6 linked regions of the Rattus norvegicus genome follow. The protein of the gene in region 6 purifies or fractionates together with the protein of the main gene of each other region. This does not show direct contact. Links are inferred from orthologs where the notes say so. Each region holds a gene or a part of one and is shown on either strand. Other genes may lie near its edges. The genes, in order: Sgf29, Cyth1, Cyth2, Cyth3, Cep170 and Inava.

The links.
Region 1: the proteins of Inava (region 6) and Sgf29 purify together in Homo sapiens (co-immunoprecipitation; 3 studies listed by BioGRID and IntAct, counting the BioPlex papers as one, with this or other methods). This does not show direct contact. The link is inferred for Rattus norvegicus from reciprocal best matches to the Homo sapiens genes INAVA and SGF29.
Region 2: the proteins of Inava (region 6) and Cyth1 purify together in Homo sapiens (co-immunoprecipitation; 3 studies listed by BioGRID and IntAct, counting the BioPlex papers as one, with this or other methods). This does not show direct contact. The link is inferred for Rattus norvegicus from reciprocal best matches to the Homo sapiens genes INAVA and CYTH1.
Region 3: the proteins of Inava (region 6) and Cyth2 purify together in Homo sapiens (co-immunoprecipitation; 3 studies listed by BioGRID and IntAct, counting the BioPlex papers as one, with this or other methods). This does not show direct contact. The link is inferred for Rattus norvegicus from reciprocal best matches to the Homo sapiens genes INAVA and CYTH2.
Region 4: the proteins of Inava (region 6) and Cyth3 purify together in Homo sapiens (co-immunoprecipitation; 3 studies listed by BioGRID and IntAct, counting the BioPlex papers as one, with this or other methods). This does not show direct contact. The link is inferred for Rattus norvegicus from reciprocal best matches to the Homo sapiens genes INAVA and CYTH3.
Region 5: the proteins of Inava (region 6) and Cep170 purify together in Homo sapiens (co-immunoprecipitation; 3 studies listed by BioGRID and IntAct, counting the BioPlex papers as one, with this or other methods). This does not show direct contact. The link is inferred for Rattus norvegicus from reciprocal best matches to the Homo sapiens genes INAVA and CEP170.

What each region holds. Positions count from the first base shown.
Region 1 is NC_086019.1:190,666,924-190,672,199, forward strand, and holds the start of Sgf29 (SAGA-associated factor 29), read left to right. Parts: upstream 1-2,104; 5' UTR 2,105-2,269; intron 2,270-5,276. UniProt on the Homo sapiens protein: Chromatin reader component of some histone acetyltransferase (HAT) SAGA-type complexes like the TFTC-HAT, ATAC or STAGA complexes.
Region 2 is NC_086028.1:103,921,483-103,926,017, forward strand, and holds part of Cyth1 (cytohesin-1), read right to left. Parts: intron 2,336-4,535; coding exon 2,269-2,335; intron 2,030-2,268; coding exon 1,911-2,029; intron 1,585-1,910; coding exon 1,504-1,584; intron 553-1,503; coding exon 440-552; intron 1-439. UniProt on the Homo sapiens protein: Promotes guanine-nucleotide exchange on ARF1, ARF5 and ARF6. Promotes the activation of ARF factors through replacement of GDP with GTP.
Region 3 is NC_086019.1:105,418,514-105,422,254, reverse strand, and holds the end of Cyth2 (cytohesin-2), read left to right. Parts: intron 1-727; coding exon of another isoform or gene 728-729; coding exon 730-806; intron 807-895; coding exon 896-967; intron 968-1,045; coding exon 1,046-1,200; intron 1,201-1,288; coding exon 1,289-1,376; 3' UTR 1,377-2,624; downstream 2,625-3,741. UniProt on the Homo sapiens protein: Acts as a guanine-nucleotide exchange factor (GEF). Promotes guanine-nucleotide exchange on ARF1, ARF3 and ARF6. Activates ARF factors through replacement of GDP with GTP.
Region 4 is NC_086030.1:16,044,188-16,049,309, forward strand, and holds the start of Cyth3 (cytohesin-3), read right to left. Parts: upstream 3,242-5,122; 5' UTR 3,121-3,241; coding exon 3,087-3,120; intron 1-3,086. UniProt on the Homo sapiens protein: Promotes guanine-nucleotide exchange on ARF1 and ARF6. Promotes the activation of ARF factors through replacement of GDP with GTP. Plays a role in the epithelial polarization.
Region 5 is NC_086031.1:91,282,462-91,287,779, forward strand, and holds the start of Cep170 (centrosomal protein of 170 kDa), read right to left. Parts: upstream 3,530-5,318; 5' UTR 3,323-3,529; intron 1-3,322. Other genes in the region: Sdccag8 (serologically defined colon cancer antigen 8), read left to right, coding at 4,429-4,495.
Region 6 is NC_086031.1:50,235,034-50,240,269, forward strand, and holds the start of Inava (innate immunity activator protein), read right to left. Parts: upstream 3,398-5,236; 5' UTR 3,223-3,397; coding exon 3,020-3,222; intron 748-3,019; exon of another isoform or gene 1-747. UniProt on the Homo sapiens protein: Expressed in peripheral macrophages and intestinal myeloid-derived cells, is required for optimal PRR (pattern recognition receptor)-induced signaling, cytokine secretion, and bacterial clearance.

The sequences.
Region 1 (5,276 bases), on a different chromosome or scaffold from region 6:
TCACTGGCCCAAGTTTAGCTGCTGTGCTCTCTCTCTCTCTCTCTCTCTCTCTCTCTCTCTCTCTCTCTCCCTCTCTCTTCCTTCCTTCCTTTTCCTGTGTGTGTGTGTGTGTGTGTGTGTGTGTGTGTGTGTGTGTGTGTGTGTGTTTCAAGACATGGTTTCTCTGTGTAATAGCCTTGGCTGTCCTGGACTTGCTTTGTAGACCAGGCTGACCTCAAACTCACAGAAATCTACCTCTTCTTCCTGAGTGCTGGGATCAACGGCATATGCCACCATGCCTGACTTCTTTCTTTCCAGACTAGTCTCACTGGCTAGACTGGAACTCTCTATATAGAACAGGCTAGCCTCAAACTCATAGACATCTACCTGTCTGTCTTTCAAATGCTGTTAATTAGCTTTCCTATGTAGTTCAAGATCACCTTTCAAGAGAATGGTGCTACTGGTAGTGGGCTAGGATTAACATGGTAACATGGTAGTGCACTCCTATAATCCTACAATCCGTTAGACAATTCTCCACAAGCCAGGTCTGTCTGGGGAAATTCCTCAGTGAAGACGGCATTGTCCAGTGGCTCTAGCCAACTTGATTGTTAAAATTAACCAGGGCACCTGACTAGCCCTAATTCAATGAAAGAAAATTATTTTTTCAAACTTTAAAAATGTTGTGTCTGTGTGTGGGTATGTGCCCGTGAGTGCAGGTGCCAAAGGCAGGCAGAAGCATCAGTACCCTTAGGGTTAGAATTACAGACTGTTATGAGCCACCAGTGTGGGCACTGGAAACTGTACTTGGGCTCTTTGTAAAAGTAGTATATGTTTTTAATTGCTCAGCATTTCCCAAGCCATATATATATATATTTAAAATTTTCCTTGTTAGTCTGGGTGCTAAAATAGTTTGTGTTAAAATTTAAGGGGCTGGGGATTTAGCTCAGCGGTAGAGCGCTTACCTAGGAAGCGCAAGGCTCTGGGTTCGGTCCCCAGCTCCGAAAAAAAGAACCAAAAAAAAAAAAATTTAAGGTTTGCTAATAGAAAAATATCTGATAGCTTGTTGTGTGCCAGACACAGTGCTATATACTGGGAATGTCTAAAGATCTTGACCTTATAGCATTTGTAATTCTATCAGAGAATAACAATATGTGATTATAGGCTTTAAAAGACTTTCAAAACTAATTTTTGTTCTATGTATAGGTGTATATGTATCCATGCAGTCCCCTCTGAGGCCAGAAGAGGGCATCAGATGCCTTGGAGCTAGAGTTAGAGGCAGTCTGAGCCAGCTGATGTGAGTACTGGCATTCTAATTCTGGTGATCTTTCATTTATTTATTTTAAGGTATGAGTACACTGTCACTCTCTTCAAAGACACCAGAAGAGGGCATCAGATCCCATTACAGATGGTTGTGACACACCATGTGGTTGCTGGGAATTGAACTCAGGACCTCTGGAAGAGCAGTCAATGTTCTTAACCACTGAGCCATCTCTCCAGCCCGCAGCAAGTATTCTTAACCACCAAACCATATTGACTTTTTAGGTGTTATGTATGATACATTAGGATAGATAGTTGGAGTGGAAGTAGTCCCTAGGGATTGAGACCAGAACCATGCTAAGCAAGTGTCCTACCACTGCATTAACTGCCCAATCCACAAAGTAGGCATCCAAAGAATACCTTTATAGCTAAATGTTTGCATGTCCATATTTTTTATTTGCTGGGAAGATTCTGTAAATTATGAGTTCTAAACCTAAGACTGCTTATTTGGAATTTAAAAGTATTTTTAGATAAATTTTAAATTCACAGCAAACTTTAGCTTAAAGTACAGAATTCTCATATGCTTCCTGGGGGCCCTCCTTCCCTATCCCCAATAATCTGAAGTGGTTTTGTTGTTTTCTTCTGGTGCTAAGGATCCGATCCCATCACTTCCCACATGTTAGGCGAGGCTTCACACATGCTTTTCTGGTCCTTTGATTTATATGAAAGTTTTCGAGGGACATAAAAAACAAACAAGAACTCTGACCTAATAAATTGAGTACATCAAGGCACAAGTATCGAAGAACTACGTTTCCCAGGGTGCAATGCAGCACGTCACAGAGAAGTACCCGGCATGCGCAGAGGAGTCCTCCGCGCTCGACCGCGCTCATAAGAGAAACAGCGTGTGTGGTTCTTGACGTGCCGCGAACCTTCGAACGTAAGTGCGGGACTATCGTGTGAGGAAACGTTCCAGTGATTCGCTCTTCCCGCCATCGCAGTTACCAGCGCGACGTGCTGTTTTTCCCTGGGCTCGGTAGGTGGGACGGGGCCATGGCAAGGTACCTCCACGCAGCGCGGGAACGAAAGGCCAGCGTTCCTGCCCGGCGCCCGGCTCTCTGAGGCGGCTTCTGCGGAAACGCGCACGCGCCCTGGACGGGGAAGGGGGCGGGCTGTGGGAGCCGGCGCCCTGGGGTTTGCGCGTGCGCCCTACATCTCTGGAGAGGTGGGAAGCCGCTGGAGCTGACTAGTCTAGAGGCCGGCACCTGGTGAGGTCCTTGGTCCCAGACATCAGCACAGTTTACTACTTTCTTATTGAGAGGGACACTGTAGCCCAGCCTGGCCGTGAGATCGCAGTCCTCCCTCAATCCCAAGTGCTGAGATTACAGACTCCACAGCCCTAAAGGTGTCCATTTTCACAACAGTAACTTCATCCACTCTGTAGCTCACTCATCTGTCGGCTGACACATGTATCCTAGGACGTCTGCGTCTACTCATTAGCACATTCACCTGCCTCTCTAGGGAGGCCTTGTCTCATGCTGTCTCACAGAAACAGCTCTGTCAAAGCCGCCTTGAGTTCTGGATTCCCAAGTTCAGTGATAATGGCTTGGTAGCATCCTCTTTCATTGCCTCGGTCCTCTCTTAACCTAAAGAACTCTTGCTTCCATTTCTTCATCTTTAATGCTCGTACCTTCAGAATACATAAACCCTAATCTTGCCTTTTTTCTGTTCACTCCCTGGGCATTGTCTATTTCACACTTTAAATAAATAAAATTTATTTTGGTGCACTCAACTTTCTTTTTTTTTTTTTTTTTTTTTTTTACATATTTTTAATAATTTTATATAGGTTCACTGGTGCTGTCTTCAGACACACCAGAAGAGGGCATCAGATCCCATTGCAGATGGTTGTGAGCCACTCTGTGGTTGCTGGGAATTGAACTCAGGACCTCTGGAAGAGCAGTCAGTGCTCTTAACCACTGAGCCATCTCTCCAGCCCTTGTTTTTTTTTTTTTTTTTTTTTTTAGAGACAAAGTTTCTCTGTCTAGCCCTGGTTGTCCTGGAACTCACTCTGTAGACCAAGCTGGCCTTGAAGTCAGAGATCCAGCTGCCTCCGCCTCCCAAGTACTGGTATTAGTGTGCAACCACTGCCAGCTTCCCCGGGTGATTTAGATGTCAAGTTAAAACTAGCCGTCATGTGCTTCAGTGCTTTTTCATCCCGAGAGTAAATACATGGGATGTGTGCATTGCATGCTGAAGGGGGTGCACTGGGAGCAATGCACTGGGAGGTGTTTATCCTAAGACAGGACACGGTGCTCTTACACAGCTTAGATTATCAGCCTACTACACACCAAGTCCACATGGCATAGCCTGCCACTCCATATGTAGCATGTTACTACAGCAAATACTATAAAGGTGGTTTCCACAAAATGAAAAGTATTTGAGTATCTATACAGAAACAGTTCAGTAAAATACTAGGTGAGGGCCAGTGAAGAGGCTCAGAGGGTAAAGGAAGTTGTCACTAAGCATGACAACCTAAGCATGACCCATGTGGTAAGAAGAAAACCAGTAAACACTGTGGCATATGTACACCCATACTCAATAAATAAATGTTTAATAAGAAATAATGGGGTGATGAAAGTGTTTTGGGTTTATAATCTCATACATCTTTTTGAGCATTATAATCTCATGGGACTACATCATGTTCAATCTTTTTTTTTTTTCTGATGTATTCTTTGGCATGTGGCTCTATTTGTTTAATATGTGTCCATTCTGCATTGTCCTTTCACTACTGCATATCCCTTATGTCTTAGGTAATTAGTAAATGCTGCTGAATGGAATTATGAAAGGGCATAATTTCTCTTTTCTGCATGGGGGAAGTAGGTAGTCTCTCACGGAAGATGTTAGTACTTAACATGGAGACAGAGGAGACCTTGAGTAGCTCAGCTTCAAACCCGTTTCAGTGTTCTAAGTTGAAAGACTGCTTGAAGGGTGTTCAGGACTCAGCTCCATTCAGCAACCTGATTTGACAGCAGTATGTGCCAAGGCCCGGCAGAACAGAAAGATATCTAGAGTAGCAGCCTGTATGCTCCATGCTTGTCATCTGGTAGGAGAGCTGTCAGTGAAGCAGTTCATCATTTACATGAGTGACAGGTGCAAGAACAGAAGTTTACTGTGAAGACTGAGGCTGGAGAAATGTGAGTTCAGTGTCAGCCTGAACTGCACAGTGAGACCCTGCCCCTAAAGCAATAAAAGAAGCTTGGTATGGTGGCACGCACCTTTTAATCCCAGCACGGGGGAAGCAGAGGCAGATGAATCTCTGGGAGTTCCAGGTGTAAATTCCAGGGCAGTTTGAGTTGCATACTAAGACTGTGTCTCAAAACAACAATAAAAACATAACAAAACAAGAATAAAGTTTAAATGCAGTGCTTAGGCACTTTCCTGAAGTTGTGATTGGCCATAGACGAGGGCAAATGGAGGAGCCTGTGGCTGTTTGGGAGCTGTGTTGTCCTCCCCCAGCTTCATATGTAAATATCATGTTCTTGGGTTGCAATGTTGATAAGCTCAACTTGTTGAATTTTTTTTTTAATTTTTAAATTTTTATTTTTTGAGACAGGTTTCTCTCTATGTATAGCCCTGCCTGTCCTGGAACTTGTTCTGTAAACTAGGCTGTAGACTGTGATTTAAATCTTGAAAGTTGAATAAGTTAAAGTGACCTAGAAGGGAAGAAGAGAAGGATCAGGGGCACTTGAGGCAGACAGAACAGGGAAGAGTGTGTGCTTGTTTGGGGTGAAGAAGGTGTAGACTCTGGTTATCCTGGGTAGTGTGTATGATTAGTCAGAGAGATCAGGTGAATCCTTGGTTTTACTCCCAACTTTCTGAAGCTAGAAGTAGGGACATAGATACCCCTATCGCTACAGATTTCTAAATGTGTGTGGAGATTCTTTTTTTTTTTTTGTTCTTTTTTTCGGAGCTGGGGACCGAACCCAGGGCCTTGCACTTCCTAGGCAAGCGCTCTACCACTGAGCTAAATCCCCAACCCCGTG
Region 2 (4,535 bases), on a different chromosome or scaffold from region 6:
TTGTTAATCTTATCATTTTCCCATGCGAATATCTTCATAAGAACATGATTTTTCTTTCTTTTTAAGGCAAGGTCTTGATTAAGTAGCCTAGCTAACTATATTCATAAATTTGCTTTTGAGACAGGATTTCTCTGTGTGGCCCTGGCTGTCCTGGAACTTGCTCTGTAGACCAGGCTGACCTTCAACTCAGAGATCTGCCTGCCTCTGCCACTGCCCAATGTTGAGACATCTTTAAGAGTTACATGTTTTATAATTCTGAACCCAGTGCTTGCAATCACATGAGGCAAGACTCCTCCATTAAGCACACCAAGTGTTCACTGTAGCTCAGGGCTGGTCTTCTGGATGCTTTGAATCTTTCAAGGTTATGCCCACCATTAAGTAACTGTTCTTGGCATGGACTCGGCCTCTTGTCTTAGCTCTCCCTCCCTCCCCCACTCACCTGTAGACTGGAACACCCCAGTATTGCACTGACAGTACCGCTGCGCAAAGGCCTCCATCATCCGGTCAATCTTCTGGGCCTCTCCAGGGAGCCGGAAGCTCCACAGGAACTGCCTGAGGGTAAAGACAGGAGCATTGTTTTGACCTGTGCTGCTGCTAGTGTGGCTTTAATATCAGAGGGTGAAGGAAGTGGGGGCTCCAGTCCACAGAAGTCACAGAAACTGAACAGAAGCAAATGTAACCATTGCCCACCACTGTGGCCTTAGCTGAACTGAGACACCAAGAAGAACAGCCCCTCTCTAGAAGATGATACAAAAGTAAGACAGATGTTAATCATTTAAAATGAACTCTAAGGGAAAGAAAGGTCCATCCAGGGCATTCACTACGGAACCCTGTGGGTCACATTTGTTCATGGCCACAGGTTTAGTGCTGCAATATTGTGTCCTTAAAACTCAGAGCTCAAAAAGTCATCCTAGGATTTATACCTAGAGCAGGGAAAAGTCTCTAAAGGGCACAAACCAAGCTTGATAAAGAGTTAAAGCTGAGCTGTGTGGCGGTAGAGCTTGCCCATGATCCCAGCACTTGGGAGACAGAGGCAGGCAGAGCTCTGAGTGTAAGCCCAGCCTGCTCTACAGTGTATGTTCCAGGACAGGCAGGGACACACAGAGAAACCCTGTCTCCAAGGGGAAAAAATAGTTGATTTTTTTCTTTTCTTCCTTTCTCTCTTTCTTTCTTTCTCTCTCTTTCTCTCCCTCTTTCTTTCTTCCTTCCTTTCTATCTTTCTTTCTTTCTTTTAAATGAAATACACGGCTACCTATAGGGTAAGAAATGAAAGGGCTTTCTATTCTGAAGAGTAGAACTAATTTCAGTATTTAAGGTCTTAACAGCCCCTCCATTCCCAAGACCAAGAAACCATCCTAGTGAATGCTATCCCACACAGGCATGTACATGGCCTCCCTGGAAAATACTTTATGACAGTCACAACAACCTCCATCGACAGGCTTGGATGGAATAGCACACAGGATAGAATACTCCTGCCCCACGGGACCTGCTGACAACACCCACCGCAAGGCCTGGACGAGGTTCAGGTCGGTGAACTCGTGCAGCTCCACAAATGCATGCAAGACCTGGATGCTGAACTCATCTCTATCAGAGGACAGACAAGAGACAGAAGGAAGCACACGTCAGACCCCGACACTGAACAAGACCCATCCTGATCACAAGCAGATGGCATCCCCAGAGTCCCAGCCCATCAGACCTCTAAGCCTGGCCATCCAGTCAGGAGGCTGTCTGCCTGGCTGTTTGCTAACTAAACAAGCAAGGCGCTTCTATGCCCCGGGACAAGTAGGTTAATCATTCCACTCAGTACCATTGTGGTGCCAGCTGCCCTACCACAGTCCCCACCCCATGACTTAGGCAGCAGGGAGCTTATTTCTTCCCATGGTTCTGACCACCAGCTTTGAAGGCCTCACCTCTCCCCAAGGTAGTCACCGATGGCTGTTTTGTTGAGCCCTTCCCCTTTATACAGGAACTGGGCAATGTCCTCACAAGTGTTTTTCAGCAGGCCATTCTCGATTAAGAACTGGATCCCCTGCACCAAGGTCAGAAAGAGCAGAGATGCTGGCTCAGAGGTTGGAGAATGAGTGTGGGCCCTGGCGCCTGTGTCGGCACACACCCACCACCGGACACTGGGACAGGGGACTCAAGTCAGAAACCAGAGCCCCAGCCTCAAGAGCTGACATTTACTCCAGAGAAGAGCAGCTTAGACCGAGGTCCCCACGGCCCTGCCCCACTGTAATAGTCTGGCAATTGTCACTTCCTTCTGCTTACCTTCTTAGGATCCATGTTGAATTTCTTTCTGCCCATGGCTACCTGTTTGTTCCTCTGCATGTTTTTCCTGAAAAACAAGTGTAGCTGTTAGTGCTCTGGCGGCAGGACGTCTGGGAGGCTGGAGCAGCCTATATGTGGTGCTGACAGTGTGGGAAGACAGGCCTAAAAGGGTAAGGAAGCAATGTGGTCCATCCACACAGGTCAGCCCGGCTCAGCTGAAGCCTCCTTCTCTCTAGAGTCATAGCCTCTCTTAGAATTTCTTCTTCTTAAACTTTGCTGTCTACACATTGTGGAACTGCCTGTTTTATATGTAAACCTGAAGGGCTTTTAATAAGCTTACCAATTGCCATAACTAGTTTCAGAAAACTTTTATCAGTCCAACAAAATTCCCCACAGTCATTTCCTGTTCACCCACATTCCTCTTTCAACTCAGGGGAACTCTTTTTTTTTAATATTATATATAATATTAAATATTATATATAATATATAATATTTATTATATATAAATATTATTACATTTATTATATATAAGTACACTGTAGCTGTCTTCAGATACACCAGAAGAGGGCACCAGATCTCTTTACAGATGGTTGTGAGCCACCATGTGGTTGCCGGGAATTGAACTCAGGACCTCTGGAAGAGCAGTCGGGTGCTCTTAACCGCTGAGCCATCTCTCCAGCCCAGGGGAACTCTTTTTTAAAAAGATTTAGTTATTTGTTTGTTTTATGTAAGCATGCTGTCATTGTCTTCAGACACAGCAGAAGAGGGCATCAGGTCCCATTACAGATGGTTGTGAGCCACCATGTGGTTGCTGGGAATTGAACTCAGGACCTCTGGAGGAGCAGTCAGTGCTCTTAACCGCTGAGCCCTCTCTCCAGCCCACTGGGGAACTAACTCTTGACCTACCTTTGGTGTACACATCTGCCAAATTCTGGACCTCTCATACGTGTAGAACCGGGACAAGCTGGGCTTTAGTCTCCGAGCAAATGAGCTGCTCAGGAAGAACTCATGTGCTGCTGCCACCTTTAGGGGCCAATGAGCCGTCGGCACTAGCCAGACCCCAAGGTAAAAAGTCCCTTGCTCCTCCTCTTTTTTCTTTTTTTCCCAGGTTGAGACATGGGTTCACTCTGTAGCTCAGGCTGGGCTAAAACTCACTGCGTAGGTCAGGCTGGCCTGAAACTCATAACGATCCTCCTGCTTCCACCTCCAAATGCTGGGATTATAGACATGAGCCTACCATGCTTGGCCAGGCTGACTGAGGTTCAGGACTGGTATGAGTCCCAGGCTATCTAACCACATTTTCCCCAAGTCAAGGAATACTACTTTGATCTATATTTCCAAAAAAGTACAAGAAAAGGCTGATGGGCAAGCTGGGAGGGCGAGCTGGGAGGTAGTGGTACACACCTCTAATCCCAGCACTGGGGGCAGAGGCAGGCAGATCTGAGTCTGAGACAGCCTGCTCTATAGAGTGAGTTCCAGGACAGCCAGGGCTACACAGAGAAACCCTGTCTTAAAGAGAGAAAAAAAAAAAAAAACATAACAAAAAAAACCCCTCAAAAACCAAAAACCAACCAACCAAACAAACAACTGCAGGGCGACTTCTCAGAGTGCAGTCCTTGGAGCCCTGCAATGGCAAGGCACGTAACTGCCCACAGGGACCTTCGGTGTCTTTTCCTTGGTTTAGTCCCTTACTGAAGCTCCCCCTGTCTCTGGCAAGCCCTAACCCAGAGCACAGACTCCAGTAGTACACGTCCACATCTCTGTCAACTGTAATTGCCGCTTCTGAAGGCTGTGGGTGCTCACGGGGTGGCTGGCTAACTTCACTGGCTCCTCAGGAATCAGCTGCAAGCCATCCAGTGTTGTAGCTTATGGCTGCCAGGCATGCTCAAAGGATGTGCTGGCTAAAGTTCCACATGCGTCTCCGTGAGTCAGCTCCTGGCTCTCTCTACCTGTCTAGCATTCTGTCTGTGACTGCGGAGACAGTCATCACGCAGGCCTATGGGTCAGCTCCTGTCCCAACTTCGGCAGTCTCCCTTGCACACCAGCTGTGTCACCTGGTCACCTTGAGGAAGCTCTAAGTTCCACAGTACTATGTTGCCTTTGCTTCGTCCACAATGTTTGGGGTTGTTATAGAATGCTGAATCCCGCCTTTGATTACACACATGACCACCCACCTGTGGAAAAGCCAGAATGAGTAAACCCTGACTACACAGATGCTCAGTCAGAATCCACAGAACAGCTCACCTTTCAGAATCTTCAATTCTGGA
Region 3 (3,741 bases), on a different chromosome or scaffold from region 6:
GCTTGATCCTGACCATCACAGCTCATGGAAACATCTCTATCCCCACTGGTTCATCCAGAGGCCACAGTAGGCCATCTTGTTACAGACAAGATATGGGTGGGTGGGTTGACATAGATGGCCAGGGGTTTTCTAAGACCACCTGTACTCCTTAGCTCGGAGTTGAAGGTCTCAGGGAACATGTATTTTCTAGAGCCATCCTGGCCAGGCTGAGCACTGTGGGCAGGGGGAGGTGGTGGCTCCACCCCATGTAGATGTAACTGGTTTTCTTCCTCTCTCCCCCTCCCCTTTGCCTGTTCTCTCGCTGTGGCTCTGGCTCCCTGTGCATCCCTTCCCCGACTCCCTATTTCTGTCGCTGCCGGTTCTTGGGGCACCCCATCCCTCCGCCTTCCCTTCCACACCTGGTCCTGCCTGCTTTCTCGCTGTCTGCCCCAGGAGGTAGGTACCTGGTTTTCTTGCCCCCACCCCCCCCCATCAGATAGGGAGAGGCTGCCTTGGCCCAGGGGGAGGGGCTTGGGCCTCTGCCAATAGAATAGCCAGACCCTTTGGCCCAAGCAGGGGGAACCAACTCCTGGGCGCCCCCCCCCAACCCCATCCCGCAGCTTGTCCTTGCCTGCCTGTCTTCCCTCACTGCCTCTGTCCTAGACCTAAGAACCCTACCTTTCCTGCTCTGCTCCCCCCTCCCTAGCGGTTCCCCGCTGAGCCCGGCCCCTCCCACCCCTTCCCTTGCAGGGGGCCGGGTGAAGACTTGGAAGCGTCGCTGGTTCATCCTCACAGACAACTGCCTCTACTACTTTGAGTACACTACGGTGAGGTGGAGCTTGCAGACACAGGCCAGGATGCGGGGGCAGGGTCCCCAGCTCTCATGTAAACCTGAACTCTTGACTTTGCCTCTTAGGACAAGGAGCCCAGAGGGATCATCCCCCTAGAGAACCTGAGCATTCGTGAGGTGGATGATCCTCGGAAGCCGGTGAGACTCATGAGGTGCCCTGTATCTCCATGTACTGACCCAGGGCTGCTCTGACCTGTCCCCTCCCCTGTATTCTAGAACTGCTTTGAGCTTTACATTCCCAACAATAAGGGACAGCTCATCAAAGCCTGCAAAACGGAGGCTGATGGTCGGGTAGTAGAGGGGAACCACATGGTGTACCGAATCTCAGCACCCACACAGGAGGAGAAAGACGAGTGGATCAAGTCCATCCAGTAAGCCTCATTGGGCTGGAGTCTGAGCCAGGAGGGCTGGGCCTGGGCTCGGGCCTGGGCCTGGTCCCCATCACACCTCTTTTTGCAGGGCTGCTGTAAGCGTGGACCCCTTCTACGAGATGTTGGCAGCAAGAAAGAAGCGGATTTCTGTGAAGAAGAAGCAAGAACAACCCTGACCCTGTCCCCAACTCCATTATTTATTTTGGAGCTGCCCCGCCTGGGTGGCAGGACCCCTGGGCCCTGGGGCTGTGGATCCTGGTTCCCTGTTTGGAAAATCACCACCTCTAGCTCCTGACTCCTTATTTGTAATTAACATGTTGGTAATCTTATTAATTATTTAACCCCTCGCGCCTGCAGATGCCCTCATTTCTTGGGTTTGGGAGAGCTGAGAACCCATCCTCCTGACATTAACCAGGACACTGGGCTTCATACAGCATGGAAGGCAGGCACATCCCAGACGGTGACTCCAGCCCTGGGGGTGCCGAGTGGAGGGAGAATCTAATGTCTTAGTGTGGTTTTAGACTCGGCCTACTCTCCATGTGCTCTACCCCACTGGCCTGGCCGCTATGTTCATGTTGGACCTGTGGTCCTTGGGGGACTTAGTCCAGGAGACTAAGACTAGAACAACAGGAGGCTCAGGAGGAGCGAGTCCCAAGAAAACCTGTGTCAGTCCCTAGGAACTGGCTGTGCTGGCCACTGAGTACCCCATGGTGGCCTGGAGGGGCAAGTGGTGTGTGTCATGAGGTACGCGGGATGCCATTGTGACAGTGGCTTCTGACCCCACGTCCAGCCACTTGTGGAGGTGTTTGTTTTTAACTGAAAGGCCTGGGCATGTGTCTCCTGACTCGTGGGAGGGGATCTCAGTGAAGGGATACTGCTGAGTCCCCAAGTGGTCCTGTCCTCTTGTGCTTCTGGTGGAGGAGAGGATAAAGGACCAAATGCCTGCTGCCCACCTCTAGTGGCAGGAAGCTTTTTGTTACTGTTAAGAGTCAAGCCTTGCCACCTCCTTCCAGTGCCAGCATGCTAGACTGCTAGCTGCCCTGCCAGACAGGAAGTAGTAGTTGTAAAGGAATTTGCCTCTTCCCAGCATGCTTTAGCATGCAGGCCTGACTGGGAAGAAAGGATTCTGCCCCAGGGCCTTCTGGGACTTGAGAGTCAGAAGGTGTGTGTGGATCTGCAACCCTGTGGGTGTATGCCCCAACAGCACTGATCTGGATAAATGTGAGCATCCAGGTTCTAATTTAGGTGGGCTTTGGCTCAGACTACTGTCAATAGGCTGTAGTCTCCGGGGTATCAGCTTTTCTGAAGCTTACCTTGACATTGGGAAAGGAGCATGAATTACCTCTCCCCCTCCCTCCAGGGGCTGGTGTGAAATGGAGATTCCCAAATAAAACAACTAAAGTGTCACCCAAAGGGCCAGGAAAGTGCTGGGCAGTGAGTATCAGGTTCTTAGCCGCCCTCTCACCTGTCTTGTTTGCCTCTGGGGTGAACCCAGGACGAGGGAATGGTGGCTGGGAGGTGCTGCCTGGGATATGGATTCCAGTTTCCCATTCGTGGGTGTCCTGAGCTTGGATGCTTGTCTTTCATACTTTACGACCAAGTTGTCTTGGCACAGGAGCTTGCACTGATTGCCAGGATAAGGGGTGGGTTTGAGCTGGACAGTATGTTCTGGCTTACAAGTTAAGGTGACAAAGACATGAGAGCAAAGGAAAACCCAGTGGCAGGGCTCCTCCTCACCCCAGGATCATTGCCTGCCAACTGGTGACTAACATCGGCCAAGGTAAGCTGTGGCTACAGGAGGCAAGAACAGGTTATACAGGCCTGGCTGTGGAAGCTAAGATGTGAGGCAGGAGAATAGTGTGTTTAAATGAAGTGGTGGCTGGGGTGATCTGAGAGTGAATAGAGGGGAAGGTGGAAAGGGAGGAGGTCTCCAGTCCTTGGGGACCCAGTGACTAAAGCAGGAAGCAGTGGAAGAGCCACCACCATGTGCCCAGGGCTGTGACAATCCACCATGCTTGATTAAGGATCTAAAGGGAACACTGCCCAAAGTTTGTGGAACATTCAAGTCATAGCAAAATGCTTAAGCCACCCTTCAGGCCAAGTGTGGAGGGAAAGGGACTCATTTCAATCCATGTGCTAGGTGAGGCAGAAGAATCAAGGTGTTCAAAGCCAGACGGAGTTATGTGAGACCATGCCTTTCCCAGTGCCCACCAACATACCCACATAAGTCCCCAAAGTGTGTGTTTGGACAGGAGGCCACAGAGGGTGCCACGTAGAGATGAATGCAGAGTAGGGGCAAAGCACAGACAAGCCAAGGAGTGCCGACAGTTACCTGAGGCCAGGCTTGCAAAACCACGGAAGAGATTTTTCCAAATACTGATGTCGATGGTCTTGGTCTTGTAGCCTCCACACTGTGAAGCAGTAAGTTTCTGCGGTTGAAGATAACTGAATATGAGTTTGTGGGTGAGGACTAGTGCGATAGTATACCCTCCTTCAGACCAGTGGTCCTGATCCCGGTTCCTCCCTCAGGTGCAGGGGTCC
Region 4 (5,122 bases), on a different chromosome or scaffold from region 6:
CACCCAGATGGGAACGCATCCGGTACAAGGCAGGCCCACCCCCTCAACCTGTCCCAGTGGCACACTCAGAAACCAGGATCTCCTGACGGCGCCGAGCCAAACTAGCCAGTTACTTTCTAAGTAGAGGCCTAGTTCAAGAACTGTTCTAGAAGAACTGAACGGTACCAAGTGCCAAGGCAAGGGAAAACACCTTCACTGCACTCTGCACACAGTCCAAGGAACAATGTGTTCCTGTAATCTCGTACCCCACTCGCCCCTCCTTGTAACCGCCTTCCAGCCATTCATGCGCCATCCTTGCCTTATCGAGCACTGCAAAGAACAAATAACGAAAGCCTGGACAAGAAGTTCAGTTATAAAAACGACCATCCCTGAAGTCCTTTCTGCCTGACCAACGCACTAACCATAAAGAAAACCCTGCCAGTCACCTTCCCCTCTGCTCTAACTACTATTCGAATACATTTAGCTTTTTTTTTTTTTAATCTTCTAAGAAAGCTGAAACAGGGCTCCCAGATGCAGATTAAAGGTCTCTCCTGGGGTTGGGGATTTAGCTCAGTGGTAGAGCGCTTGCCTAGCAGGCCGCAAGGCCCTGGGTTCGGTCCCCAACTCTCGGGAAAAAAAAAAAAAAGATGCCAAAGCACCCGTAAGTATCTTACCACAATGTGAGCAGGAAAGATTTTTTTTTGATAAGCTGAATCAATAAAAATTAAAAAGCCGTTTTCTATCACATAGCACACTGTCTGGCATTCCAGCAGGGAAAGAAAAAAAAATCAATAAATCTCTTTGTTGTCAAATGTTCCAGGAAGGTGAATTAAATCACGCTGTATGTTTAAAATATGTGGATCTTTTATAAGCCCAGATTTTTTTTTTTTTGGTCTAAATTTGAAAGCATGTGTTCTTATTCAAAAAACCTGGGAAATATAAGAGAAAATCCATAATGACAGCAGTATTTACATTGTTTAGATCAGAATGTATAAAAGAACTGCTTGTCCTTGGTAACTTTTTAAAACTGCATGTGTGCGCAAGCTTGTTGCTGCTTGCCTGAGGAGGTCAGAAGACAACTTGTGGGCGGCAGGGCCCTCCTCCACCATGTGGCTCCTGGAGAGTGAGCTCCAGCTGTCAATTTGTAATGTCTCCCTGAAGTAACCTTACCTGGTCGCGGTTACTGTGTCTCATTTTTTAACTGTTGGCCATGACAGTGCAGTATCATTGAACTGAACATCTTTTTTTTTTTTTTAATTTTAAGAGTGTTTCTCTGGTACATTAATATATCCAGAGACATTAATGGTCCAGAGATAGCTTTAAGCCTTCCTGCTACTTTAATATTGACCTTCATTATACTTCTCAAATTCCAGGGACTGCTGAAACACATTGGCTTCTAAGTTTCCCCCACTGTATCTGCTTTTACCTTCAAATCTTTCACATGTTGACTCAACAGACTGCAGCACCTGCAAAGCCGTCCCCAATTCAGCTTCCTGGATTCCAATGTCCAATTGCCACTGTCCTGTCTTTTCTAAACTATGTCAAACTGTGATATAGGCGAAAGGCAAGGCATCCACAGGGATCCAGTGCCTCCAGCCCCGCAGCCGGTCTGTAGGAGGGTTTGCAACTGGGCTCTTTCTTTTCACAAACAAAACACCCACTCGGTGCCACTGTGCTACCCCTGGCTTTTACTATGAGAACTGAACTTGGCAAATGCCACGAGGAGTGCCAACTTCCTACCAGCCCAGCCACCCCGTTTCTTTCACAGAGAAGGAAAAAAAAAATCTGAGAAGCTCTGGAATTCTAGAAGGCACCTTGATTAACCACTTCACGGGGAAGTCTTCAATATTGCTGATTCTTACAGGCAGCTGCTCCAGCAGCCTGTAATTAAGACTTTTTTCCCCCCTAAACACTCCCTTATTACATGGGACTCTGATCATTCTGTCAGCAAAAAGGAAGATCGTTACTCAAAGTCCAGACAGCTTCAACTTGGGGTGTTTGGGTAAAAATGATGGGTACATTATTAACCCCTTGCTTTCTCAATCAAAGACCCACTCGACGAACGGGGACTCTTAATGTTTTGGGAAACCAAATTCATGAAATGATACAACAGGAATTTGTAATCCGTTGAGTAATTTGCAACCAGCACATCTGCAGGAGGACAGAATTCAAAGTCAGGCACATAGAGCCTGAGCAACACCGAGAACTGATAACCCACCTCTGGAAGGGTGTCTGCCCCTGAGAAATGATAACCACCTCAGGAAGGGTGTCTGCCACACACACCTGTCCTGGAGTCTTACAGCCTTGTTGGCTGTGGCTCCCGCTTCCCACCCTCGGCTTTAGAGAGATCCCACCTGACCCCTTTAATTTCTTAATTATATTTTCCATTTGGTGGTGTTGTGAACAAACTCAGGGCCATGCTAGACAATTATTCTATCATTCAGCTATTTGCCCCCCTCTTTATTTTTGCACCCCACCCCTTCTCTGTAGCATTTTTTTTTTCTATTTGATAAAAATGCATACTCAGACCTGGACTGGAGCTGCCTGTCCCTCATGTCCTTTAAGCCATTCCCAACGAGTACTTCTGATCTAAAACCCGGAGACGTTGTTATGACTTCCAACCTTCCTCCTCTCCCCCGGACCGATCCAACAGACCCCACCCCCGGGCCCCGAGGCGTCCAAATTGAAAACTTTCCCCTCCCCATCCACGAGCTCCCAAGCTCCAGACACCTGAGGAGAGCTGAAAAGGAGAGGGGCCCGTCCGAAACAGCTGGACTAGGGAGGGCGTGGACGCCCTTGGCAATGAGACGCTGGGAAGGTCGCCCCGCAATGTGCTCCCATCTCGGAAAGGCGACCTGGAGCTGTGCAGCGAAGACCCTGGCCTCGAACCCGCGACCCGCTACCGCGCTGGGCGACGACCCTGCGGTCTCCGACTTGTCCTCTCACCAACGCTGCGAAGCCCGCGTCCCGGCCTTACCCCGAGCACCTCCCCACGGTCGCCACCAACCCACCCGACACCCGGCCCCACATCTCAAGCCAGGGCTCTCAACAGCGCGACCCCCGGCCTCAGGGCCGCCCAGAGAGCCGGCCACACCTCCATCACTCACCGCTGCCGCCCTCACCGCCACCGCCTTCGTCCATCTTGAGGCCACTCCCAGCCAGCCGGCGAGCCCGGAGCCGGCGGGAGCGACTGGGCTGAAAGCCGGGACTAGGAGAAGTGGTCGCGGGGAGAACGGAGGAGCTCCTCAGCGTGCGCGGCCCGGGTCGCGGCCGGGCCTCCACGGAGGGCCGGGCGGAGCCTCGCTGCTCCGGCGCCGTCACGTGACATAAACCACGCCCCCCTCTGTGGGTGTGGGCGGAGACTAGACGCCTAGTGGTCCCGCCCTCCAGACTCCGCCGGGCCTTGCAGTAGCTGCAGTAGCTGCTTAGCCTAGAGACTTGGATCCTGCAGCGCTGCACCCTCCTTCGAACCTGGTGTCTGCCCCTCTAGAGCATCCTGGAGAGGAAGCCGTGTCTATCAGGAGCACGAGGACGCCCCGCTCTACAAAACCAAATGGCTATGTTGCGACTCGCAAGTGCATGGAGTAGGGGAGTGGGAAAAGATCTGGAAGGGAAGGCTGATGATGATTGGCTCAACGAAAAGAACTAACTATAAGTTTTACTGTGACCGCAGCATGCATGGGCGTCCAAACATGACATACACACAGTAATAATTGTGTGAGGAGATAGTTCTGTTGTTAAGAGCACTCTCTGCTCTTGAAGAGAGCCAGAGTTTGTTTCCAGCACTCACAGAACCCTTGTAACTACAGCTCCAAAAAGGATCGGATACTTCTGGCCTCCAAAGACACCTGTACTCATATGAGGGTTATCTGGAACACTCTTCTTGCCTCCAACGACACCAGGCATGCTTGTGGTGCATACATACACGCGGGCAAAACACCTATACACACAAAATAAATTTAAAAGAAAAACTTTTTTGAGACAGGGTTTCTCTGCATAGCCCTCAATATCATGGAACTCTCTGTGTGTACCAGGCTAACCTTCGACTCAGAGGTCTTCCTGCCTCTGACACCCGAATGCTGGAACTAAAAGGATGAGCCAAGGGGTTGGGGATTTAGCTCAGTGGTAGAGCGCTTGCCTAGCAAGCACAAGGCCCTGGGTTCGGTCCTCAGCTCCGAAGGGGAAAAAAAAAAGAAAAGAAAAAGAAAAGGATGACCCAACATGCCCAGCTAAATAATTTTTTTTTCAAATGTTTATTTTAAAAAATAATTTTAAAAATAATAAAAATTGGGTGTGATGCTTTGATGACAGCAAGCAAATCTCTATGAATTCTTCGTGGGCTTGGTCTATATAGTGAGTTCTAGGTTAGCCAGAGATACCTAGTGAGTCCCTGTCTGAAATAATAACAATAATAATAATCGTCATCATCATCGTCTGAAAATGAGCCCACTGTGAAGAAGCCTCTCCCTCTCCCCACCTCCTCCCTTCTTCATCCTCAAGATGTTAGGGTAATTCCAGCCTTTTATCCCTTCCGTGTATAATGAAAATGGAGTCTCTTTTTCCTGCGGATTGGATGCATTTTAAAATTAACAAAGTATCGAGGTTTGTAAATGAATGTAGTCATGACGTTGAACCCTAATCCCAGTCCAGCACAGCTGGGGCCCAGCTCTCAAAAAGCCTGATTACAGAGGTTGGCCGGCCTGGCGTCAGATGCCCTTGGAGTTGAGCTTTAGTCTCTCTTGGGTTGCTGCCAGCTGCCCTGGATTTATGATGCAGTGGGAGCTCTGAATTCAATTTCCCGTGGGCACAGCCCAGGGCTGGGCAGACCGCCTCAGTTCGTCCCTGTTCCAAATCTATGGCTTGCTTCTCTCAGTCCATATGTCTCGTTTCCAGTAACCTCTCCTTAGCATTGCCTGTGTACCCTCCCGAGCCTTTCTGCTCGAATTAAATTGCATTAAAGAGAAGCAAACATTATAAGGGAGGAGATGGTTCGTCTGTAATAAAATTTCCCAGCAACTGTTTCATATTTACAAATTGCCCGTTGAATCAAAGGATGCTTCCTCCATCGTCCATCTGTCAAAGCAGACAGCCTTCACCTTTTGCTCAAGGTTAAAGGATGATTTCAAAGAGTCCAATTTCCTGA
Region 5 (5,318 bases), about 41 Mb from region 6:
GCTTTTGACATGAAAATAGATTTCATATTTGCTATTTTACTTTGCCTAAAAAAATACATATCCTGTTGCACAATCATTTCAACTAAACTGGACAACACAACCAGTTTAATCAACTACAGATGTTTTCTTATTCTTTTATACCACAAAAAAGTGAACTCACTATTGAACACATCCTTCATAAAACATTAGAGTAAATAAATCAAAGCTCACTTTGCCAAGGGTAGTTACTAAAAATTTCCAGTATTAGGGATAATTAAAGGAGAAAAGATGGTCTGAGGTTTTTATGCCACTAAACGGAACCTTATTGGGTGAAAGAGGTATATGCTTAATGCTTTAATCATTTTCTATTCATCAAACATTGGTGTATTAACTAATCTAGAAAACCTGCAAAAATACACGTACTTCACAGCTTAGTGCCACCTATCACATTCTTATTAGAGTCATACACTACCTAACAGTCTGAAGAAAAATCATTATGCATTAAATAGTGAAAAATACTTATCGGGAACAGAATTTTATTAAGTGAATAAACCATACAGGGGCTGGTTAAAGGAAGGACTTGTTGAGTAAGCAAGACTACCAGATGGTTCATATGGCCAGAACCCATTAAAATGCTGAGTAGGCCTGGTGATCTTAGAGATGTACAGTTAGGCTCAGAAAGTAAAGATAGGAGGCCTCTGGAATAAGCTAGCTAGTGAGACGAGCTTTATTCATAAGCTATCGGTTCAACGAAGACTCTGCCTCAGAATCAATGATGTAGAAAAGCAATCAAGGAATATTTCAGTTTCTGGCTTCTATGTGCACAGGCAAACATGCATGCTCCAACACATGCAAACATTCATACACACATGCGTGCAAATATACCACACACATGGAAAAGAGAAAAAGAAAGCAAACCATTACAGACACAAAGTTCAAATAACAAGCTTTTACCACCAGAGGTGAAATATCTGATCACTACCAGATGCAATAATAAAACTGAGTAAAGATAAAGTAGTAAGAAAGTGAAACAAATTACTAATTACAGAATTTTAAAAACCACCTTGATTGTTTACATCAGCATGCAGAAGCCATATTGATGTTTATTCTAATGCTAAAATAAAAAACATGAAGATCATGTATTCCACACAAAACATTTTAGGATACCATGAGATTTATTGGTAAGATATACACCATTAATCCCAGCACTAGGAATGCAGAAGCAAGCAAATCTCTGAGTTCAAGGCAAGCAAATCCCTCTGAGTTCAAGGTCAGCCTATCTACAAAGTTCTAGGACAGTCAGAGCTACACAGAGAAATCATGTCTCAAAAAATCAAAACAAAAAACCCAAAACCACAAAGCCCACAAACAAACAAAAATTGGCTGTAATCGAATATAAAAATAATATTAAGATAGAATAGAATTAAGAACAAAAGTTAAATGTTAAAAGTTCCACTCTAATAAAAGAAGCCCCCCAAATGTTATCAAAAGGTGAGTTCTAGTATGAGTTGAGAATATAATCCATTAAAGAAAAACCAACATCATTAAGTTCTTGTATGTATATTTTATTTTTAACACAGTTTATAGAATTGATTATGCTATAAAATATTAGGACATATAGTACATTTTGGTTAATAATCAGGGAAGCTTTTTTTTAAGCAAAAAAAGCAGATTTTCTCTTAGTGTATAAAACTCAAGCTCCACTTCAGCATAATTAATAATATGTCGAAACATAAGGATAAGATTAATACAACTGTGAGAATTAACTGATGCAGACCACTCAAGGACCATGTAGAATATGTTCTCTAGACCTGTGCAGGGCAGAGGACTACGGCACACACATAGGAGAGATCACACTGCAATACAGATCTGGTTTTATTTGGCTCTGCCTTCCATTGCTTCAGAGTTGGCAGACAAGTCAGTCAACTTTGCCTAAGTTAGTATCCTCTTAGTTTCTCGTAAGCCCAGTTTAGACTCATGTTTTAGGGCAGCAACTTTTTATAGTGCTTAACAAAAGGAAAAACTAAAAACTCCGCGGGTTTTATTTTTTAAAACAATGGCAAAAATACAGACTGGTTGGCTTGTAACGTGCCATTTCTCAGTATTGAATTTCTCAGTCTCTTAAGGCTAATACATGGGACTTTATTGGTAAAGACTTAGGTTCTGTATTTATAATCCAACTCTCACATTATCCCTCCACTTGCTCCTCCTCATCCTGCTTCATCCTATGGTCCGCTTGCTTTAAGCAACAAGGTTGGCAAAACACTACAAATACCATAAGCTTACGATTTCAAACGGTTTTACAGGATGCATTTTCAAGTAAATGTATTGTCTGCTTCAACAAATTCCTCTCCAGTGGTTGAATTTTCATTAACAGAATAGAAAACAAATCAATTTCAGAAACTGAAATATAGCTGGCCTATTTTTTTTGTTTGCTTTAAGCGTATCCTAATGTATTCCCTTAGGAACATGAACGCATTACCCACCCAGTGGAAAAAATAATTCTGCTGGTTCATTTCCCTGCTAAACAACAGCTTCGCTGTCAAACCCTACGTAAGCCCAGCCTTTATTGTCACCTAGTAATTTTATATTGATCAGCACGGCAGACTTGGGACTCTAGCCTGTATAGCCTGTCTTTATATTCTTTGGGGAACCGGGGTCAGGACGACAGTTTATACTCAAGACCAGAAAACAGAGATCATATGACTTAGGATACAATTCCTCATCTTCCCGTACGTGTCACGCAGCTGCTATTTCTCCCCCTTGAATAAAATGGAAGTGAACTAGACCTAAACCCTACGACTGAATCTTGGGACAATGAAGCCCACAGGAAGCCACTAGCTCCTCCCGTGGGTTTACTACAGAGCTAGAGGCTACGTGGGGTACAGTCGTCCGGCAGGCTGAGTGACAGCACGTCTTCCACGCCCTCCCAACGCCATCAGAAGGCTCGTCGTCCGAGACCCCCTCCCCACCGCCGCCACCCTCCTCACACCCCGAAACCAACCCTACAAAAGGGATGGGCGCCCTGGTAAACTCCCTTCCCCAGCGGCCGCGCAGCCATTCCCTCGACGCTCCGCCCGCAGCGCTCCCAGGCAGCTCAGGCGGCGGCGGCACAAAGCGAGAGCGAAAAGAGGACCGGGCGCACAGAGGGGAAGCCGGCCCCGGGCAGCCGGCCGCAGCCCATGGGGGAGGGGAGGGCGGCGGCCGCGCGGGGCGTCCGGGTGGCGCCCCTCGGCTTCCAGGCCCGCACTCCATCCCGCCGCGGGCCGCGCCCCGGCCCCGGCCGCCAGAGCTGAGGATGTGCAGAATCCCGAGCCTTGCGGACCCCGAGCGCATCACTTACCCCTCACCGCAGAGAGGGACCGGACCGGGAGGCGGGGCGCGGCGCGTCCCGTCAGTCTCTGCCACGCTGTCCTCCTCCCACCCCCTCGCCGTTGTCGTCGTCCTCGTCGTCGCCGCCGCCGCCGCCGCCGCCGCTGTGGAGCTGGGGCCCCCTCGGTTCCGCTGGGCAATAACGTTATTCCACACACGCCCCACACATAGCGGGAACAGCAGCGAGCGGCGGCTCAGTGCGCAGGCGCCTCGCAGAGGGCAACCAGCCAGGCCCTCTCCCTCCTCCTGCCAGGGCCCAGCGATACCTCACTGCGCAGGCGCCAGACCCAGACAATGAAAGGGGGCTTTGCAGAGGGTCTCACCCACTCGCTCTCCCAGCTACCCACTGCGCAGGCGTGTCCTCAAGACCCGCTTGAACAATGAAGAGCGGCTTGGCTGGAGTGGGACCGCAACCAACCAGGACTACGATTCCCAGCGGGCAGCGCGCCAATTCCATACGGAGGGCGGGGCTCTGGGCAAACTAGGAGTTGCAGTGTCCGCCGCCTTCACAGAGTGGCTGTTTGTAAGATTTACACTTCATTTTCTAGAGAAAAACAACTTTGACACAAATCCTGACTGAAACCGAGTTTACAGTGAATCCTTGCGAGGGCTCAGGGGTCAACTCCACACCGGCACATTTTGAAGAGTCTAAGTCCTTCACCCGGTCCGTTCTGTCAGCGGGTCGATCCAGTTGGCTGAGGATGCAGGACAGTGGGACTAATCCAAGCTATGCAAAAGAAAAGGGCGCGGCCTGCAACCGGTCTCTTGGCAACGGGCTCAGGCCGCTAAACTGCCGGAGAGGCGCCCGAGCGCATCGCCCTCTGGGAAGCGTAGTATAGCTGGAAGGCTCTTAGCACTCTCGAGGCTACAAGCCTTGAACCTAAGAACTACAATTCCCGACGTTCACCATGAGGGCCAGGGGGTAGGAAGAGCCCCCAGCAGCCCCGTGCGAGGTTCCTGTCTCCCTAGTGACAGCAGCTACAGGAAGCAGGCAGGCATCCCCCAACCCCCAACGCTAGGCCTGTCCTCGGAGGGGTGCACTGGACACTTTCCATCATAACTCCCATCTCTGACCCCATGGCGAAGTCCCCAGGGAACTCTACCCTGGAGGACAGTCTGGGGCAATACCAACGGAGTCTCCGGGGTGAGTTGCTCCGAATCTCGATGCTTAGGAGCTCCTAGGTACCATGGGCAATATTGGGTTTTTTTCCAGACACTTTCCATGAGCACTACCCAGGCTGAGGAGGACGAAGACGGATATTGCACTGATCTTATGGATCAAATCTTTTAGTTTTGCTTCTAGGATTAAGTAGCACTGTTACCTCTGATTCTTGTGGTTACCTGACCCAACAAGGAACCTAAATCTTGATTTAGGTGTCTTATCAACCAGTGCCAGCACAAACTCATGGGCAGCTCCATGTCACTTCTACCCTGTTGCCATACTGTTGCTGTTAAATCCAATAAATTTCTTATTTATAAATTTTACACACGTAGATTTTGGTTGTAGTACAGCAGGTCTGATGTATAAAACAAGAAACAAAACACTAACAGTTATTTGAAATAATACAATACTAATCTATCTACACTATTTTCTTGTAGCTAAGCATTTGAAACTTTATCTTACTAATGATCCCATTTTACCTGTCAGGAAACCAAAGCTCAGAGAGGTTGAGTTGTAGGCCAAAACTCACACCTCTTGTTGGTAGTGGCAAAGGCAGGTATTGAATTCAGGCCTATCCACCTTCAAAGCCTATGCCTTTCTTATTAATCAAGTCACAATTCCTATAGTTGAAGCCTGTTTTACTTAATTTCAGGTTTTCTGAGCAAAGTACCAGAAGAATGATTATCTGGCAAAGTCATACAGCTAGCTGGCTCTGTTCTTTCAACAACGTGAGCAACCTCTGGAAACCTGAGACTTTGTTTAGTGAATTTATAATGTCAACTACATCATAGTTATTATGGAGAAC
Region 6 (5,236 bases):
GACCGTAGGCTCTCAGAATCATTGCTCTCCTGACACACACATGAATGAACACCATAGCCTCAGTCTCCCAGACTAGGATCTAAAAACCTCAGACTGAGCTGGGGGTTGTGGCAGGCACCAGTAGCGACTTGCAGTCCCAACTACTGGGATCTGAGGCAGGAGGATCACAGGAGCTGGTAGACTGAGGATCAGCCTGGGCAACAGAGTAAACCTGAGCAAACAGACTGAGCAAACAAAAACAATAAAAACAGAAGGAAAAGACTGCTGGGAGTTGTTGGAACTCATTGGCCGACTACAAGCCAGAGGTCTTGGGTTTAAAACCCAAGACACCTAGAAAAGGACCTAGAAAAGAAACAAAACCAAAGGGACAACAGAAACAGGCCAGGGTGCTTTTGCAGAGACTCCAGGGCGCTGGGAAGAAAGAAGATAGCGCTGATTTCTTTTAATCCCAGCCACATTAAGAGCACCACACGCCGGTTGCAGTCTACAGTTGTTCCCTATTCCACACAACAGTAGCAGCAACCTTAACTCACTCTCCACACTCACTAAAATGGACCTTGGTCCAGGCAAAAAGTCAGCCTCCGGGCTCTCTGTCCATGGACCCTCAAGCAAACAAAAATTTGCTTAAAATACATTGCTTTCGAGTGGCAGCAGCGCTGAGGCTGCCTGCTGCCTGCTCCCAGAGGCTAGAAGGATACAGCGGACTGGCCTGCATCTCTCAGATCTTTGTCTCCTCACCTCCCACCCTCCACCTCTGGGACCCAGGTATCAGGTCTCAATATAGACCCAAGCTGCTTCCTTCTCCCAGCCCCCATGCAACACTGTCCTCGCTCTCCGTGCCCTAGCTGGCTGTTAAGCATCTCCCGTGTCACAGGCTGCCACCACCCTTCACCAACAACCCCATTCCTTCTACACACAAAACCCCCTCCCATACCTTCACATTCCTGTACACACCCTCTTTCCAAACAATGCTAGCCCCAGAGTCCCTCAGGCTGACCACCTCCTCCAAGCAGAAGCTGAAGGGCCCTCACAGGGGACAGACCCTCCCCACTGTGGTGCTCTCTGAACCTCCCAAAAAAACCGCACGGCCCTTCCGATCTCCCCCATAAAGTCCTCCACAAGACTGAAGTCCCTTCCCATCCCCCAACAGGTTTTCGTGTTCTTCCAGCGTCTGAAAGGGCTTGAGCTGCCTAGGCCCCTCCCCCAGCTCCAACTGGGGACTGTGCTGGAGTTTCTAGAATCAGCTAATAGCTCCATTTTTAGTGTATAAAATTAAGAGGCCAATTACGAAGTCCGGTTATGCTGAAATACAGTTCTGAAACTATAAAAACATATCACGTACGCTTCATTGTTAACATTAAACAGGACCCAGCAACGGGTCGTCCCAAACAACCGATGAATGAAACTCTTTACATATAACCGACCTCAAGGGAAAGTCATAGGCACTGCTACTGCTGCTGCTGCCTGAGGTGTAAGTTTTAGACTCAACTGAGAACTCTGGCCTCAGGTAACCTCATCTGAATTCAGGGACAAAAAGCAAAATCGGGTTAAGGCCTGTACACACCAGGACATAAATTCTTTAAACTGTCTTCCAGGAAAAGCCTCCAGGCCTTCACTAATGATTCTCAGTGCTCAAAAACCAGCTTTTCAAGAACGGACTTGAGCAGAAGCCGGGTCACTGACATCATAAACCCAAATCCCCTCTAGCAGAACATAACCGCCACCCAAACCCACCCCAAGAAATATGCAACCTGCAAAGAGGCAAGCCCGGCAGCCAATCAGCAGTTCCCTCACTCTTCTCTGCCCACCGATCAGGGAGGAAGACTTCTCCTCAGGGCCTCCTGCAGGTCAGCTGTGCAGCTGAGCTTTTTCTCTTTTTGCAGAAACTCAGCGCTGGCACGGGCCTCCATTGAAGATGGGTAGCAGTCCGTCGCTCAGTATTGGACTTACAGACCAACCTGCTTGCACTGATCCTTAACTGTTAAATACTCCAAGTCTACACTCAGTATTCCCCAACCCCCTAGAATCTAGGGTTTGGAATTAGGCTGACAAGCCAACAGTCCTCCGGTCAAGATGAGTATTGAGGGAAGACAACACCAAAGGATAGGTGATCCGGAGGTAGCATGGAACTTGGAACTCAGCACCCAACTCTAGGAAGCAGGTAGCTGACACTTTCCCTGATCCCAGATCCCAGAGCACTAGTTACAAGGACAGGTGAAGAAGTGAGGTTTCCTTGCAGTGGAATTCCATCTAGAAGGCAGCCCTTTCCACGAAAACCACCTCTTCAAAACCTTTCGCGTCCAAACTCTTGCACAGACCTGTAACCAAACATACTCCACTCTCTCCGCTGCCCCTAAAGTTGCTTCCAAGTTTCCTGTGATACTTTAGGAGTCAAAGTTTTTTTTAAACCAAGTTCTTCAACCTTACCACAGCACTCAGCAAAGTACAGCCACCAGCATTCCCGCAATTACAAATCAATGGCCAGTCCCAGCAACTCACAGCCGGGGCGGGGGGGGGGGGACCACGGGAAATAGTCGGGGACTCTCTGGGCAGGAGAGGTGGAAGAATATCTCGTTTGCTTTCTCCACTCTCCTCTCTGGCCACTAGGAATGGTGTTCACCTCAACTAAGCTAGGATGGAGAACTCGAGGTAACAGAAGATGCACCCTGAAATAAACCTCTAAGGCTCTCCGTAAAAAACCCCTTTGTCCTGCCCCCCCAGCCCCTCCCCCACCGCGCCCTCTCCTTCCAGGCTGGCCTGGGACTCGGGCTTCTTTTGTTTGCCTGCTTTCTGCCTTCTCGGAACCTGGCCAGGAGATCCACCGGTCCGGGGAGAGAGTCGAAGGAGAAAGGTTGGCGGTTGGAAACGGCTTTGGGGTGGAAATCCGGGAATTCTCAACCCTTTGGAAAAATTACCCCCTTTCCCTGCAAGACTCCCTCTGCAGAGGATGAAGACCGAGGTTCAGGAGCTCGATTCCCCCCAGTTCTCCCGCGCTCCGTTCACTAAGTTTCTGCCTTACCTGTCCCACCGAGCTCTGGCGCCCCGCGCCTGCCCCCGCGCCCCCTGAGCCCGTCGCGCAGCTTCAGGACCTGTTGGTCCCGCCCATCTTCCCTCTCCCCAAGGCTCCCCCGGTCCTCCCCTCCCCGGAGGTATTTCATTTAACTTCGGCATTTGCAGCATCCCAAATGTTAAAGATCCCAAGACATCTGTCCCCTGGGGCATACCAAAGGCCCTGTGGAGAGAGGGGAAAATGCTAGAAGAGATTCGAGATTCTGATCCAAGAGACGGGGCGGGGCCTCACGTTGTGTTGGAACGGTGCCAGCCCCAGTGTGCACCCTGCGGGAGCAACATCGCGAGGGACGACGCTGCCCCCTATCTCCCGCATTCGGGCAGCCGCGTGATGGGACACCCCCTGCTAGACCGGTTTCTGAAGTCTGGGCGGGACGAGGCTCGACTAGAGGTCTTAGGGGCCGCCTTTCATCCCCTCGCTCTGGCCCGGCTGGGGGCAGTTTTCATTCCGAAGACCCTAGCGTGGAAGAATGAAAGGAGACGGCGCGCCCCTCCCCCTCGCCTATCCCTTCTGGCGGCCAGGGACTGCGGCTCGATCGAATCTTGGTCGCCTCGCCTCCTGAGTTCCCAGCCGTGTCCCTTTTGGGGGCGGCGGGCAGAACTCCGGCTTCGGAGGCAAGGCACTCACTCCGGGCAGCGCCTCCTGCTGCTTGCGACGAGCCCGCGAAACCGTCCATTCATTCAAACTTGCGCTTTCCTTTTTTCCGTTGGTTCTGTTTACATTTGTGCTGCCCTTGTCAGGGCCAAGCATGGCGGTTCCAAGTCCAGACTCCTTCACTAGAGGGTTCTTAAGTCTAGATAAAGCTAGTATGATTTTGAAAACCAAAGAACCAAAGGATAGTGGATGTTGACCCAGGCTGCGCGTCCCCAGAGCCTGGCCAGACGAGTGTGCTTTCTAAAGAGGGACCTTGTCAGGCAGAATGTACAAGACATCTTGGCAAAGGAACTCAGCAGGACCTTCGAGCTGTAGGAGATTTAAGATAGGGGTGGAGAGGAGAGAGAAGGTTTTGACAGTTACAGAAGACTGGGGGAAAGACTTTCCTGGATCTATTGGATACTGGTTCTGAACTGACACTGATCCCAGGAAATCCCAAGAAATACTGTGGCCTGCCACAGTGGCTTATGGAGGACAGGTGATTAATGGAGATTTGGTTAATGTTCAACTCACAGTAGGTCCCCAAACTCATCCTGTGGTTATTTCCTCAGTTCCAGGATGTATAATTGGGATAGATACACTTAGAAGATGGCAGAATTCTCACATTGGTTCCCTGTTCTGGGGAGTGAGGGCTATTATGGTTGGAAAGGCTAAATGGAAGCCTTCAGAGTTGCCTCTGCCAAAGAAAATAGTGAATCAAGAACAGTATTGTGGGCTGGAGAGATGGCTCAGCGGTTAAGAGCACTGACTGCTCTTCCAGAGGTCCTGAGTTCAATTCCCAGCAACCACATGGTGACTCACAACCATCTGTAAAGAGATCTGATGCCCTCTTCTGGTGTGTCTGAAGATAGCTACAGTGTACGCATATACATAGAATAATAAATAATTTTTTTTAAAAAAGTATCATATCCCTGGAAGGACTGCAGAAATCAGTGTCACCACCAAGGACTTGAAAGATGCAGGGGTGGTGGTTCCCACCACATCTCCCTTTAACTCTCCTATCTGGCCAGTGCAGAAGACAGATGGATCATGGAGAATGACAGTTGACTATGGAAAACCAAATCAGGTTGTAACCCCGATTGCAGCTGCTGTACCAGATGCAGTTTCATTACTTGAGCAAATTCAGATATCTCCTGCTACCTAGTATGCAGCTATTGATCTAGCAAATGCCTTCTTCTCAGTACTTGTCCATAAGGACCAATAGAAGCAATCTGCTTCCCGTTGGCAAGGCCAGCAGTATACCTTTACAATTTTGCCTCAAGGATATATTAACTCTCCTGCCCAGTGTCATAACTTAGAAGGTATCTCGACCGTCTGTCGCTTCTACAGAATATCATACTGGTGCCCTAAATTGACGACATTATGCTGATTAGACCAAGTGATCAGGAGTAGTAACCACTCTGGACTCATTGGTAATACATATGGGTATCAGAAGATGGGAAATAAATCCCAAAATTCAAGGATTGTTTATTTCAGTGAAATTCCTAGGAGTCTAGTGGTGTGGGCCTGCAG